Linked DNA regions of Lepisosteus oculatus. The protein of the gene in region 1 interacts with the protein of each later gene in a pairwise test. Links are inferred from orthologs where the notes say so. Each region holds a gene or a part of one and is shown on either strand. Other genes may lie near its edges. The genes, in order: get3, gpx7 and unm_hu7910.

Region 1 (3,755 bases):
GACCTCGTGAAATTCCGAATAAATGTGATGTTATCTTACTGTGTTGAAAAAAAATTAAAAAAACCAATGAATGAAAAAATGCTAGAAGTATTACTTCTGGTTCTGGATGTAAATACGATGTTTATAAAACGGAAATTAATTTCTTCCCGTAAAATGCTCTTTATATTGAGGTATCATCGGTTAAACTTTCACTTGATAAATTGTGTTCACGCTTAGTTTATTAACAGAGATCTAATGGGGGGGATAATGCATGTCTCTTCATATAAGAAATCCAAAAAGAAATGAACAGAAGAGCTCTATTCTTAAACATTTTCCTCTAGGGGACAGAAGATAAGACGTTTATCTTATCCTAAGAAGTCGGCCATAGAAAGCCAATCTGAACAGGTTTAACACGGAAACTGGGTGTAATATCTAAATCAGCAGAGGTTCGACTGTGTTATAAATCCATGGCAGATGTACACTAGTGCCTATATTATTCCAGAAACAAAATGGCCACCTGTTTACTATCGGGGGACGCATTCGTTGTGTCAAAAACCACAGTCATCCATTCTGTACATTAGGTTGCTAGTTGTGTATTAATCTGAGTAGTATCAGCTTCTACAACAGGGCTCGAAAGCGTTATTTTTCACTATCAGTACCCTTTGTGTAGAGAAATTTCTCCTTTTTCAGTTTTAATATAATTTTCTTTTTTTTCTGTTGTTTCTGTCTCACTGTTAATTGTGATCTATACTTACTAATTTTGAATTATTATATATATACAGTATATTCATAATGATTTCTGGAATATTCCCACCCTATCTTCACCCTTTCTATTGAAAAGTGGTATATACCGTGACGCACAAAAGGAAACACGACGTAGACATTTGGCCTCCATGTTGGCTCCGCTACCAGAGAATCTGTGATTAGTCGCCTAACTAATCGGGGCTTTGTCGATGAGCCAAAATGGCGCCCATAGCTGCTTCCTGATCGTCCGTCCACCCACCCACCCCTACCTACTATAACATTTGGTAGGCGCCAGTACCCTGACTGACCCGGTTTCAAGATGGCAGCGGCAATGGAAGAGGAATTTGAAGATGCACCTGATGTTGAACCGCTAGAACCGACGCTGAAAAACATTATCGAGCAGAAGTCGCTGAAATGGATATTTGTTGGAGGCAAAGGCGGCGTAGGCAAAACAACTTGCAGGTACGTCAAAATGGCCGAGTCCATTCAAAATCCAAACCGCCTGCGCCGTCTTGCTGTGTTCCGTACTGTTACTACGATACTGTAGTTTTATTAGTTTTTTCCTTCCTTCCTTCGCATGTGAACTTGTAACCTGAAACGCAAACCGACGAGAGCAGAGTTTCATCCCTGTTAACGTGAACTGCAGCGCCTTGATTGTGTCGTCGCTGTCAGGGCGACCTGGATGTATGATTTACAACTGTCAGTTTTGCAGCGCCGTGAATGAAGCACCTTAGATAACCTGGGCCGTTTTTTCTCGGCTGCAAATGATTGGAAAGATCGAACCTGCTCGAAAATGTGCAGTCAAGTTATTTAAAATGAATTAGCCCAATTCCACTGACTTGTCAACCTGCAACATGAAGTGGTCTTGTTGTTATTTAGCAAGCGTAAGCTATGAATTAGTATTTTTCTAACAAAACAACTCACGCAATACAGATAAATGTATGACTGTAATCTGTCCAGGATCTGCGGGGTTCGTTATATTATAATACAAATATATTTTATTGGCTGTACGCAATGACAACAATTAGCTGCGCATAAGATTTCATGGTCAGCACACGCGTTACCTTGCTAGAGCACTGTATGATTTTGGGATACAGGGGTTCGGGGAGCAGAGTAGAGTAGAATTCCGATTCCGGGACTTGTTCTGTCTGAAGGCGTACGAGCCGTGATGAAGCAATTGACAATGAAACACCTGCTCTCCAATCACAAAACAAGTTTTTAATACAGTATTAATTCTAGAATAGGTTTTCACAAGCCTCCATTTATTTTAGAAAAGGGGGCAATTTGAAGTATCAGTGAGCACATCTGCTTAAAGTTAGGTAAGCACTACTGCTAAGAGAGCAGGAAATGAACTCAAAGTGAGTTCATTTTGCTAGCTAATGTGTTACCCAATTGTTTTGGTGTCTTGTTTTGTTAAGTCAAAGGCGGCAGCCGTAGAGAAAGATACAGATGATCAGCTAGAACTAAAACATGTGCTCTAATGCAGAGATTCAGCTTTTTTGCCTTATCATATATCAAATGTAGAGAGTGCACAGCTGATCTGAAAAGAAAGTAATATATTAAGTTCTTTTACTAGAAAAGTTCTTTTTTGGGTGACTGGTTTTTCTGAAGACATTTTCTGCATCAGCAGTAACGAAGTGCTGTTTCACGCTCTGAGCTGTGGGGCGAAGCATTCTTCTGCCTCGTTGATCACTTCACACACATGTTTTTAAGGAGTTCCTTTCAATTTCTGCAGAAATGAGATTGATTTAACCATTTAACAATGATTAAATAACGTTGTGCTTATGCTTAAGAGAGACTGATCAGTTGCCTCTCCTTTGTATAAAGGAGGCCTTGTTCACAGATTGCTTGTAAAAACTAGAGAACAGAACAGTGTGTTTACTTCTAGCATGCAGGCAGTTAACCTTCCGGTTGCTGACCCAAAACCTTAGTAGCGCAAAGTCTTGAAAACACGCTGTATTTATCATGTGAGAATACCAGCATGATGGGTTTTACTTAATCACGCAAAACCAGGAATTTGAAACACTGTAGAAAATCTTTGCTTCCTGTGTCTCGAAGCACATTGCTGACTGAGTCTGTGACTCAAGTAAACAGGCTGGGCTTGCCAACATGACATCTAAAGATATGTAAAGTTACCAAGAACCGCTTCTGTTACCACTGGTGTGAGAAAGGAGGCCTTCAGCCCACCGTGCTTGTTTGGTGGCTGTAGGTTTATTGGTTTTGGGATCTTAACCAGGTTTGTCTTTAAGGATCCCAGTGATCCCAGGGAGTCCCCTTCAACTATATGGATGTCCCAGGCACCCATCACTTTTTGTGTAAAGTGTCTTTTTTTTTCCCTCACAGGCACTTTCTTCATCACGTTTCATTATAATGTACAGGAATGACTTTACCTGACTTTATCAGGATTTGCAATGTTTGTCAAGACCCCCTATAATCTCCTTTTTCCTTTAACCACCTTGTGTGCAATGATCTTGTTAGACCCGGAATTATTTCCATGAGCTGTTCTTTGGACTCTGGCCTGTTCAATTGATAAGTGATGCAGTACATCCTTCAAGAGCTGAAGTCTGCAGAACCTGATCTTAGAGAGCCACAGCGTCTTCGGGCCCACAATTTAAATCTCTCTCAGCTTTGAGCAGTTTAATTGGATGCATTATTAGCTTCACTAGTACAGCTGATCTCAGCTTCGAGATTTTGGTTCATTAGAAAATATGAAACTGCTGCAACAATTGCAGTACTGTGGCTCTCCTCAATGGGTTACAGGTTTCTCTTCTAGGAGCTGAAATTAAACAGTAAGCAGAAATGCTGATGATTTTTAATCTTTGAACCCCTAAGAAGGCACAAGTGGGTGCTGAGTGGAAATGCATGTAAAACTGAGAACGGGAGCATTTTTACACAGAGGGTAGTGGGAGTGTGGAACAAGCTACCCAGCCATGTTATTGAAGCCAATATGCTGGCTACTTTCAATTAGTCTGAATCAGATCAATGAGCTATTAAAAAAGTGAATGATCTAGATGGGCATAAAGGTTACAAAA
Region 2 (3,755 bases), on another chromosome or scaffold:
AGTAGGAGATAAATAAGGCACAGGGCAGAAGACAGAGTAGGTAGCAATGGGCAGGGACCACTGAGGAAATGGGAATATACAGGTGAGAATGGGTGTCCCAACTCTGGGAGCGTTCCTAACCACGTGGGTTTGGATATTCTTTCTCTTTTTGGACTGAATTCGGGTTTTGAGTTATTTGTCGATCTACGGTAACATTAATAGTGTTCAAATGGCAGAGGAGTCTGGAAAAGGGTGGACTGAAAATGAATGCAGAAAAATCTGAAATAATGGTAATGGAGAAAAGAGGAGATACTATGACCAATGTTGAGGAGACAAATGGAGGAAAACTGAAACAAGTTGATGACTTTAAATACCTTGGATCAAAACTGGTAAAGGGAGGAGAAACACTGGAGGCAGTAAAACAAAGAGTGAAAGCTGGATGGAACAAGTGGAGAGAAATAACTGGAATAATCTGTGACAGGAAAATTCCCAGAAAGTTAAAGTGCAAAATGTACAAGACTATGATTAGACCTGTACTACTATATGGAGCTGAATGCTTGGCAGTTGGAAAGAGGGAAGAGAACTTGATGAGAAGAACTGAAATGAGGATGTTGAGATGGATTCTGCAGATTTCAATGAAGGATAAGATCAGAAATGAATAAATCCGTAGACGATGTAGGGTGGTGGATGTGGTTGAGAAGATGCGAGAGGCGAGGTTACGGTGGTATGGACATATCATGAGGAGGGACGTTGAGGAAGTAACAAAGAGGGTAATGGAATTTGAGGTGGAAGGTAACAGAGGAAGAGGCAGGCCTAGAAAGAGATGGATAGATTGTGTGAGAAAAGATATGGAGGTATGTGAAGTGAGTGAGGAAGATGTGCTCGACAGAGACAAATGGAGAAGAGCAACCAAAGCAGCTGACCCCAGGACAGTCTGGGACTAAGGCTGTGAAAAAGAAGAAGAAGAGACGGTAACATTAATGAAATTACTAATAACTTCTTCCCTTTTTTAAAACAAAAACCAATATTAAGACCAGAAGGGGTTAACTGTAATTTACGATACGCACGTGCTTTACGGCAATGAGATGTGACGTCGAGAAAACCTCTGTCTGAAATCAGAGTTCTGGGGTTGAATTACTTCAGGATCTATCCAGTAAAAGTATTACGTTTCGCTCACCAGAATTGTTATAGTTACATCTTTCACAATGCTTTTAATCTTGTTTACATTGCTCTTAGTTGTTTCTAGCTTTTTAGAGGCAAAGCAGAAAGATTTTTATACTTTTAAAGTAGTGAACATCAGGGGAAAGTTAGTATCCTTGGAGAAATACAGAGGTTCGGTAAGTGCAATGCAAACGTAGATGCTCAGACGTGTGCGAGAAATAGTGACATGCATCCAACATGGTTATTAGTAGTTTGTTTTGCATGAATACAATTAAATTCTAACATGCATGTTTTGAAAGATGTTGTATGCCATTTCTGTGCTTTGGTCTTTATCTCTTAAAATAAAATACTAACCACAATCTGTCTGGAGTTCTGAGTGCCTGTCGTCTGTATACGTGGCAAGTAGTCTGTCTGCAAAACCCAAATTTTGACACGCATACGCGACAGTTTGCATGGCAAATATAAAGTAGAGGGTTAAAGTTTTTATGGTGTGGTAATTCAAGGAACATACCTTTTACTAGATACCTAGTAATAAAATGTGCGATTTACCAGAATTACATTTTTAATTTATATCGTAACAGCGCTTGTTGTGCTTTTATTACCAAAAGACTAGTTTTGTTATAAATCGTCGTCTTTTATACATTTTGTATAATCGGCCTTGTAGAATGTAGACCTTTAATTTATTGTATTACTGCAGAGTTATGGGATCTTCATCAGTTAAATGCTTATTATTCAATTTTCTTGTGTTACTTTTGGATTATGTGTAATAAACTTGCACATATAGGCATGATGCTTCATCTTAAATTAACTATCTAATGCACACTTCTGTTATTCTAATAAAATCACTTAATAAGTGAATGCCTTAATTTACTAACTTTTAAGTAATTTGAGTAGTATATATAAAGTCATAAGTGTCTAACCATATTAGGAGATACAAAAATGTATTTAAGGGTAACAGCACTCCATGTAGCTTGTGTACTATGGCATTTAAATCTTTAAATAGAATCAGAAATAGAATGAAATACTTGTATCACCAGGGGGAGCCATTGATTCACATTTGAATCACCGTAGTCCGTGTACTGAGATTAAATCCTCCAGAATGGAGCTCATAAATAACAACAATAACTGTTGAGAAATATGAGATACACTAGTTAATACAATTACACCACACTAAAAACTAATAAAAAATGTAATGATTCTAATATAGTTCAGGTGGGTAGCTGCGTCAGCATGCGTAGGCTGCAAAGAAACAAAAAAAGATTTATTCCATGCTGAAAAGAGAAGAAAGAAAACACAACATTTCGGCTGTTGAGTCTTCTTCGGGTGTGAGGGTGATTGTAATATATATGGCTTTGTATAAAGAAAGTCTTATCTACCAGCTGCTGAAATTTACGTAATACAGAATTTAGCAGATCACTTGTGTTCGCTGATGGTTCTTACTTGCTTTTATACAACCAGGTGAGCTAAAGAAATGCAGGTAAACTATTTTGCTTTAGGGAACAACGGAGGTGACCATAGCAGGAACAAAGACCAAGATCTTGCAGTCATGAGATCAGTGATTTAATCATAACTTCATACATTCCCTAATACAACTGTTTAGATGGGTAAAAAAAGTGGATCTCCTGGAAAAACAGCAGGGATAGTCCTGTAACTGGTGAATCACACCTCTGTGACAATTAAAGCAGGCCTTTTTTTAAGGGTAGACATCACATTTGAAGTGAATAAGTGACCATACCTTTTTAATGACCAGATATTTTAGTATAATTCTGCAGAACATAAGTGTTTAATACTGTAGATGGTTTAAGGTTTTATCACATGCAGTTCCATATTAAAATACTTTCTTTAAAGTCGTATTTAGGTAACAGTGTCAATGCTTTTGTCATTGGCTGTGAGTGAAGAAAAAATACATTGAGCTATCATCATCAGTTTTCCAAAGGTAAATAGGAATGTAAGGCAGAATGCCTGGATCACCTATCCCCACTCTACTGTACATTGAAAGGGACATCTCCCATTAAGCCAAGACTAGCCACACTGCCTTCTGTCTGCTGTAGACTAGTTCTGCCTTTGAGGTAGTATTAAAACATTAGAGACAGTAACTTCTGAATATATGGAGTACTTTCCAAAAATTCCAGCCCAGCCCCTTAAAGTCACAAAATTATGCATCTGCATTTTTTTTAAAAACGTGAGTTCTTTGTACAAAACCTGAATGCTTATACAGAAGCATTCAACAAAAGTCATTTGTCAAGAAAAACTAAAGAAACAAAAAAACAAGACTCAACTTTTGGTAAAAGCATCTTCAGTAATAGTTAGAACTGCAAATGTTTCTGGGTAGGTACTAACTTTGCACACCGGCATGGTGCAATTTTTACCTGTTCTTTTTGGCAGATTGGCCCAAATTCTCTCTCAGCCAAAGTAAAAAAGGTGCATTTTTGACTAGTTTAAGGTCTGAAGCAGATCATTTGCCGATACTTTGCTCTATTTATGTTATCAGCATTCTCGAGACGCTTCCCAGTTCTAGTTGAGGAGAAGCCGAACTATAACATACTGCTACCACCACCATGCTCGACTGTAGGGATGGTTTAGACTGAATGATGCAGCATGCAGGGTTTGTGTAG
Region 3 (3,755 bases), on another chromosome or scaffold:
CCCTATTGTGTCATAGCCCTCTGTCGTTGCTGCTGTGCCGGCATTAAAGAGCCGTTTCTATTCTGAAAGAACCTTAATTCCCGTCTGCATCTTCACCAACTCCGTCTCACTACAGTATTTACAAAATAAGTGAGAATTAATCACTGACGCTTTCATTGCATTGCTATGCTTTAATAAACTGTACAGCACCTGAGAAAAGATATCTGCCTTTCCGGTCAGTTTATACATAATACCGTGGAGAACAATATAAATCGGAAAACAGGAGTTGGAAGTAGTTTCACTAGTCCACTAATTCATATCTTGAGTGTCTGCTGCACAGTCGATTTAAAACTTTCAAAATCGACCCAAACATAAGACTGTATTTAGCAAAAATAATTATTTCTACCACAAAATGAGTCAACACGATTAAGTCCATCTAGCCCAATGGATGATCCCATTTCGAAACGTGAGTGCCTGGAGTAAACGACTCGGACTGCAGCATTACAAAATCTGAAGTACGCTCACGGAAAGCATCGTTCTGAGAATTAAATTACTGTTAAAAAAAAGAAGTAACAAAATATCAGATGGGGCTGCACATTGGTGGTGGTGGAGGGGAGTCCTCATTACCTGTATAACGCTTTTAGTGGAGCGTCCAGAAAAGCGCTATATAAGTGTAAGCAATAATAATTATTATTATTAGCTCAAGTGGTCAAGTGGCACGCCACCGGAAGTGCACATGAACAATTCTTTTCAGGACATATTCAAACACAGACGTTTTTCTTCTTCTAATGTGGGATACACCAACTTTATCACGGTCCTAAACAAAGTCCGGATGAGAGGAAACCATCTTCCTCCAGCCTGCGTTCTCGCATCACGTCTCTCTCATAAGCAACCTAACGAAGCTCTCGCGAGGAAACGTCTCTTCCATGTTGCCACGTTCCCAGTGCTGGCAAAAGAAAAAATGGTGGGAAAAAACACTACAAGGCGGATCTAACCTGCGGCAATCCACACGCTTCAGTAGAGCAACCGCCTCTTCCGCGATTGGATTCGGGCGTCGGTCTCTCCGCCTCCGAAAAGATTTAGCCAGCTTTCGGTTGGAGGGGCGTGGAGTCACTCAAAAAAAGTAAACGGGTTGCGGTAGGGGCATAGGGATTTGATTTTTTTTTTCTTCCCTGGGATTCACTGGGGGCAGTGATCGAGGAAGTTAGGGAGACTGAGCGTGCAACTTAGGGTTTATCTCAGAGACGGAAAACAGTTTTTAATTGCCATGGCCACCAAGAAAAATGCAAAGGGACACACGCCAAAAAAAGGTCAGTGTTTTTAATATGGTCTTTCTTCGGGTTACGTGCAACCTTCTGTACCGGTGCAGAAGGCCTATTACATTAATCGGGTCGATACATATTTTGTATTCGCTCATGCATGCGGAAACGTTCGAGATAATCCGAAGCAGAATGAGCGAGGTCTGATGTCCCCCCTCCCCCCGGGGTAATACTGAATGCGTCGTTTAAATTCGCGATAAAGATATCATTTGAAGGTAACTGCAACAGCACACGCCGTAATGTGTGGTGCTAGTCAGGGTAGTTTTGTTATGTATTATTTACGCTCCTTGCAGTATTCATTCTAAAAGCCAGTGCCAGTTGCCTCGCTTGTGTTTGGAAACTAAAAATATTAGTTTTTTTTTTTACTTTTATCTCACATTTTACATTGTAACCAACCTCATCTAAAACGCCAACAAGAGTTAAACATGAGGCATGGAAGTAAAATTTTTTGCAGGTAGTGGATGTTATCCCCTCTCCTGATCCAAAAGGCTTTTTGATTTTAAAAAAAGAAAAGGCTGAGAAATTGTGGCGTGCACTTTCAGCCCAAGTAAAAGTGGAACCCTTGTGCGAGAACAAATTGCGTTACATAAGGTAGCTGGGGCGGACTCGGCGGAGAGGCGTCCTGGTTTTGATTAGAGTCAGTTGCCCGGGGGGCCACGAATTGTCTCTTCAAAAGATCCGCCCAGCAGGATGAAAGCTGCTCGGCATTTCTTTCGCGTTTGCTGTCGCTTTTCCTGAATGCTCACGTGTCACACAAAAGAGGGGGACGATGGGAGGGGGGTTACACGTGGCTACTATCGCAGTTCAAACGGAGGACCCCCGACAGGCGGGGAAGGGGGGGGGGTGAGATTTCAATTATCCAAATCCACACCTACGATTTCCCGCTTCCAGGGTTGGAGGAACAGTGACCAGATGCCGTTTTACGTTCTCGCATCCGTGTGCACACGTGTGTTTTGCATTCCCTTGCTACAAAGTTCACCTCGCAGGCCTGCCAAGTTTGCCGGATCTGGCATGTGGAGAGCGGACGTGTAGGGCCCTGCTAGATGGGGCTAGATTATTGGTTGATTTAATACTCCAGCCTTAAATGCACATAAGACACCTTCAGAAGTTAAATTTAATAAGAGCCATGAAAGGTTCACCAGACGTTCATATATCATATGTAGTCCTTTTAGCATCTTTTATTTTTTGGGGAGTTCATTTATAGCTCGCCCTCATCTTGGAAATTACTTGAGACTTGTTTTAAGACGGGAAGATCTACGAGCTACAGCTTACAAAAATGCACCAGGGATCTCCAGTCACCCTAATTGTTTAGATCACCATAAATTTGAGGATTGGAAACAGAATATAAGGGCAAACTATGCAGCCATTCAGTGCATCCTGGTCGTTTGGCCACGACCCCCTGGCTAGAAAACCTGTTCTAGATACAGCTATGTGTGGAAAGAAGCATTTCCTGTTCCTTGTACCAAATTAGTTTCCTTTTAGTTTCCAGTGTCCTTGTGTCCTTGATTTGCGAGTATCCTTGGCTGACCTCATCTATACCTGAATCAAATCTCCTGTGTCCCTCTATTGTGACTGGAGAGATGTAGCCCCTTTAACCTGGACTCATCCTGTTTTTTGTCTTCTTTGACCTCTGTCTAAAGCTCTGTCTCTGTGGTATGGTAACTACACTGAATGATATTATAATGGAGGTCTTCCTACTACTTTCTTTAACGCTTGAGTATAATTTTCCTGAATCTAAAATAAACACTTTCATATTAAATCATCCGCCTTTTACTTGTGTGTTATTGATCGATTAAGGCCAGTTCAACTAGGAGAGCTGTTGTCCCTCTGCAGATTGCTTCCTTTAACAGGTCATTTGCAGTTGATCACATGCAAATGTTTTTCCAAGTGTTTAGAAATTGGTAATTTGTTATGTTAAAAACTCTAATCCAGGTTTTATAGAAACAGGGTTGGATATGCTGGAAGAAGTCTCTGAAGTGTATTCACAAGTATTTGTATGTGGTGCTTCACTGAAAGTATTGATTTGGTGAATGTGTCACAATATGTTCAGGCCATCATAAATTGTTAGTCTTAATGTTTCTCATAAAATCTTAATGATCAGTGACATTAATATTTTAGTCGATGGAATTGTATGTAGCCATAGTTATACTAAATTGGGTATTTCCTCGGAGTCAGAAATGTCTTGTTCATTTATGCCCTTGGTCATCATTGATCCAGTGGCACTGCTTGATGCATATGGGCGTTACCCCATTGTCTTGGTCGAAGTCCACTGTAGGCCTGGACAATCTTGATTATTTAAATTGGTGAAGCAATTCCCCTAAGGGGAACATCCTAAGCTGCTACTGTGTAGTAGGGCTTCTGCCATACATCAGCTAAGTTACTGGTAGATAAACTGAGTTCCATTTGTAAAGTGCTTTGGGATCATCTGGGGTGAAAAGTACTGCATGAATTGCGTTG

The links.
Region 2: the proteins of get3 (region 1) and gpx7 interact in binary tests that used the Homo sapiens proteins (3 or more experiments, as listed by UniProt). The two-hybrid records come from large-scale screens. The link is inferred for Lepisosteus oculatus from reciprocal best matches to the Homo sapiens genes GET3 and GPX7.
Region 3: the proteins of get3 (region 1) and unm_hu7910 interact in binary tests that used the Homo sapiens proteins (3 or more experiments, as listed by UniProt). The two-hybrid records come from large-scale screens. The link is inferred for Lepisosteus oculatus from reciprocal best matches to the Homo sapiens genes GET3 and ASPH.

What each region holds. Positions count from the first base shown.
Region 1 is NC_090706.1:16,860,095-16,863,849, reverse strand, and holds the start of get3 (ATPase GET3), read left to right. Parts: upstream 1-942; 5' UTR 943-1,042; coding exon 1,043-1,185; intron 1,186-3,755.
Region 2 is NC_090704.1:14,935,769-14,939,523, forward strand, and holds the start of gpx7 (glutathione peroxidase 7), read left to right. Parts: upstream 1-1,081; 5' UTR 1,082-1,184; coding exon 1,185-1,316; intron 1,317-3,755. UniProt on the Homo sapiens protein: It protects esophageal epithelia from hydrogen peroxide-induced oxidative stress. It suppresses acidic bile acid-induced reactive oxygen species (ROS) and protects against oxidative DNA damage and double-strand breaks.
Region 3 is NC_090701.1:50,419,984-50,423,738, reverse strand, and holds the start of unm_hu7910 (aspartyl/asparaginyl beta-hydroxylase), read left to right. Parts: upstream 1-917; 5' UTR 918-1,246; coding exon 1,247-1,289; intron 1,290-3,755.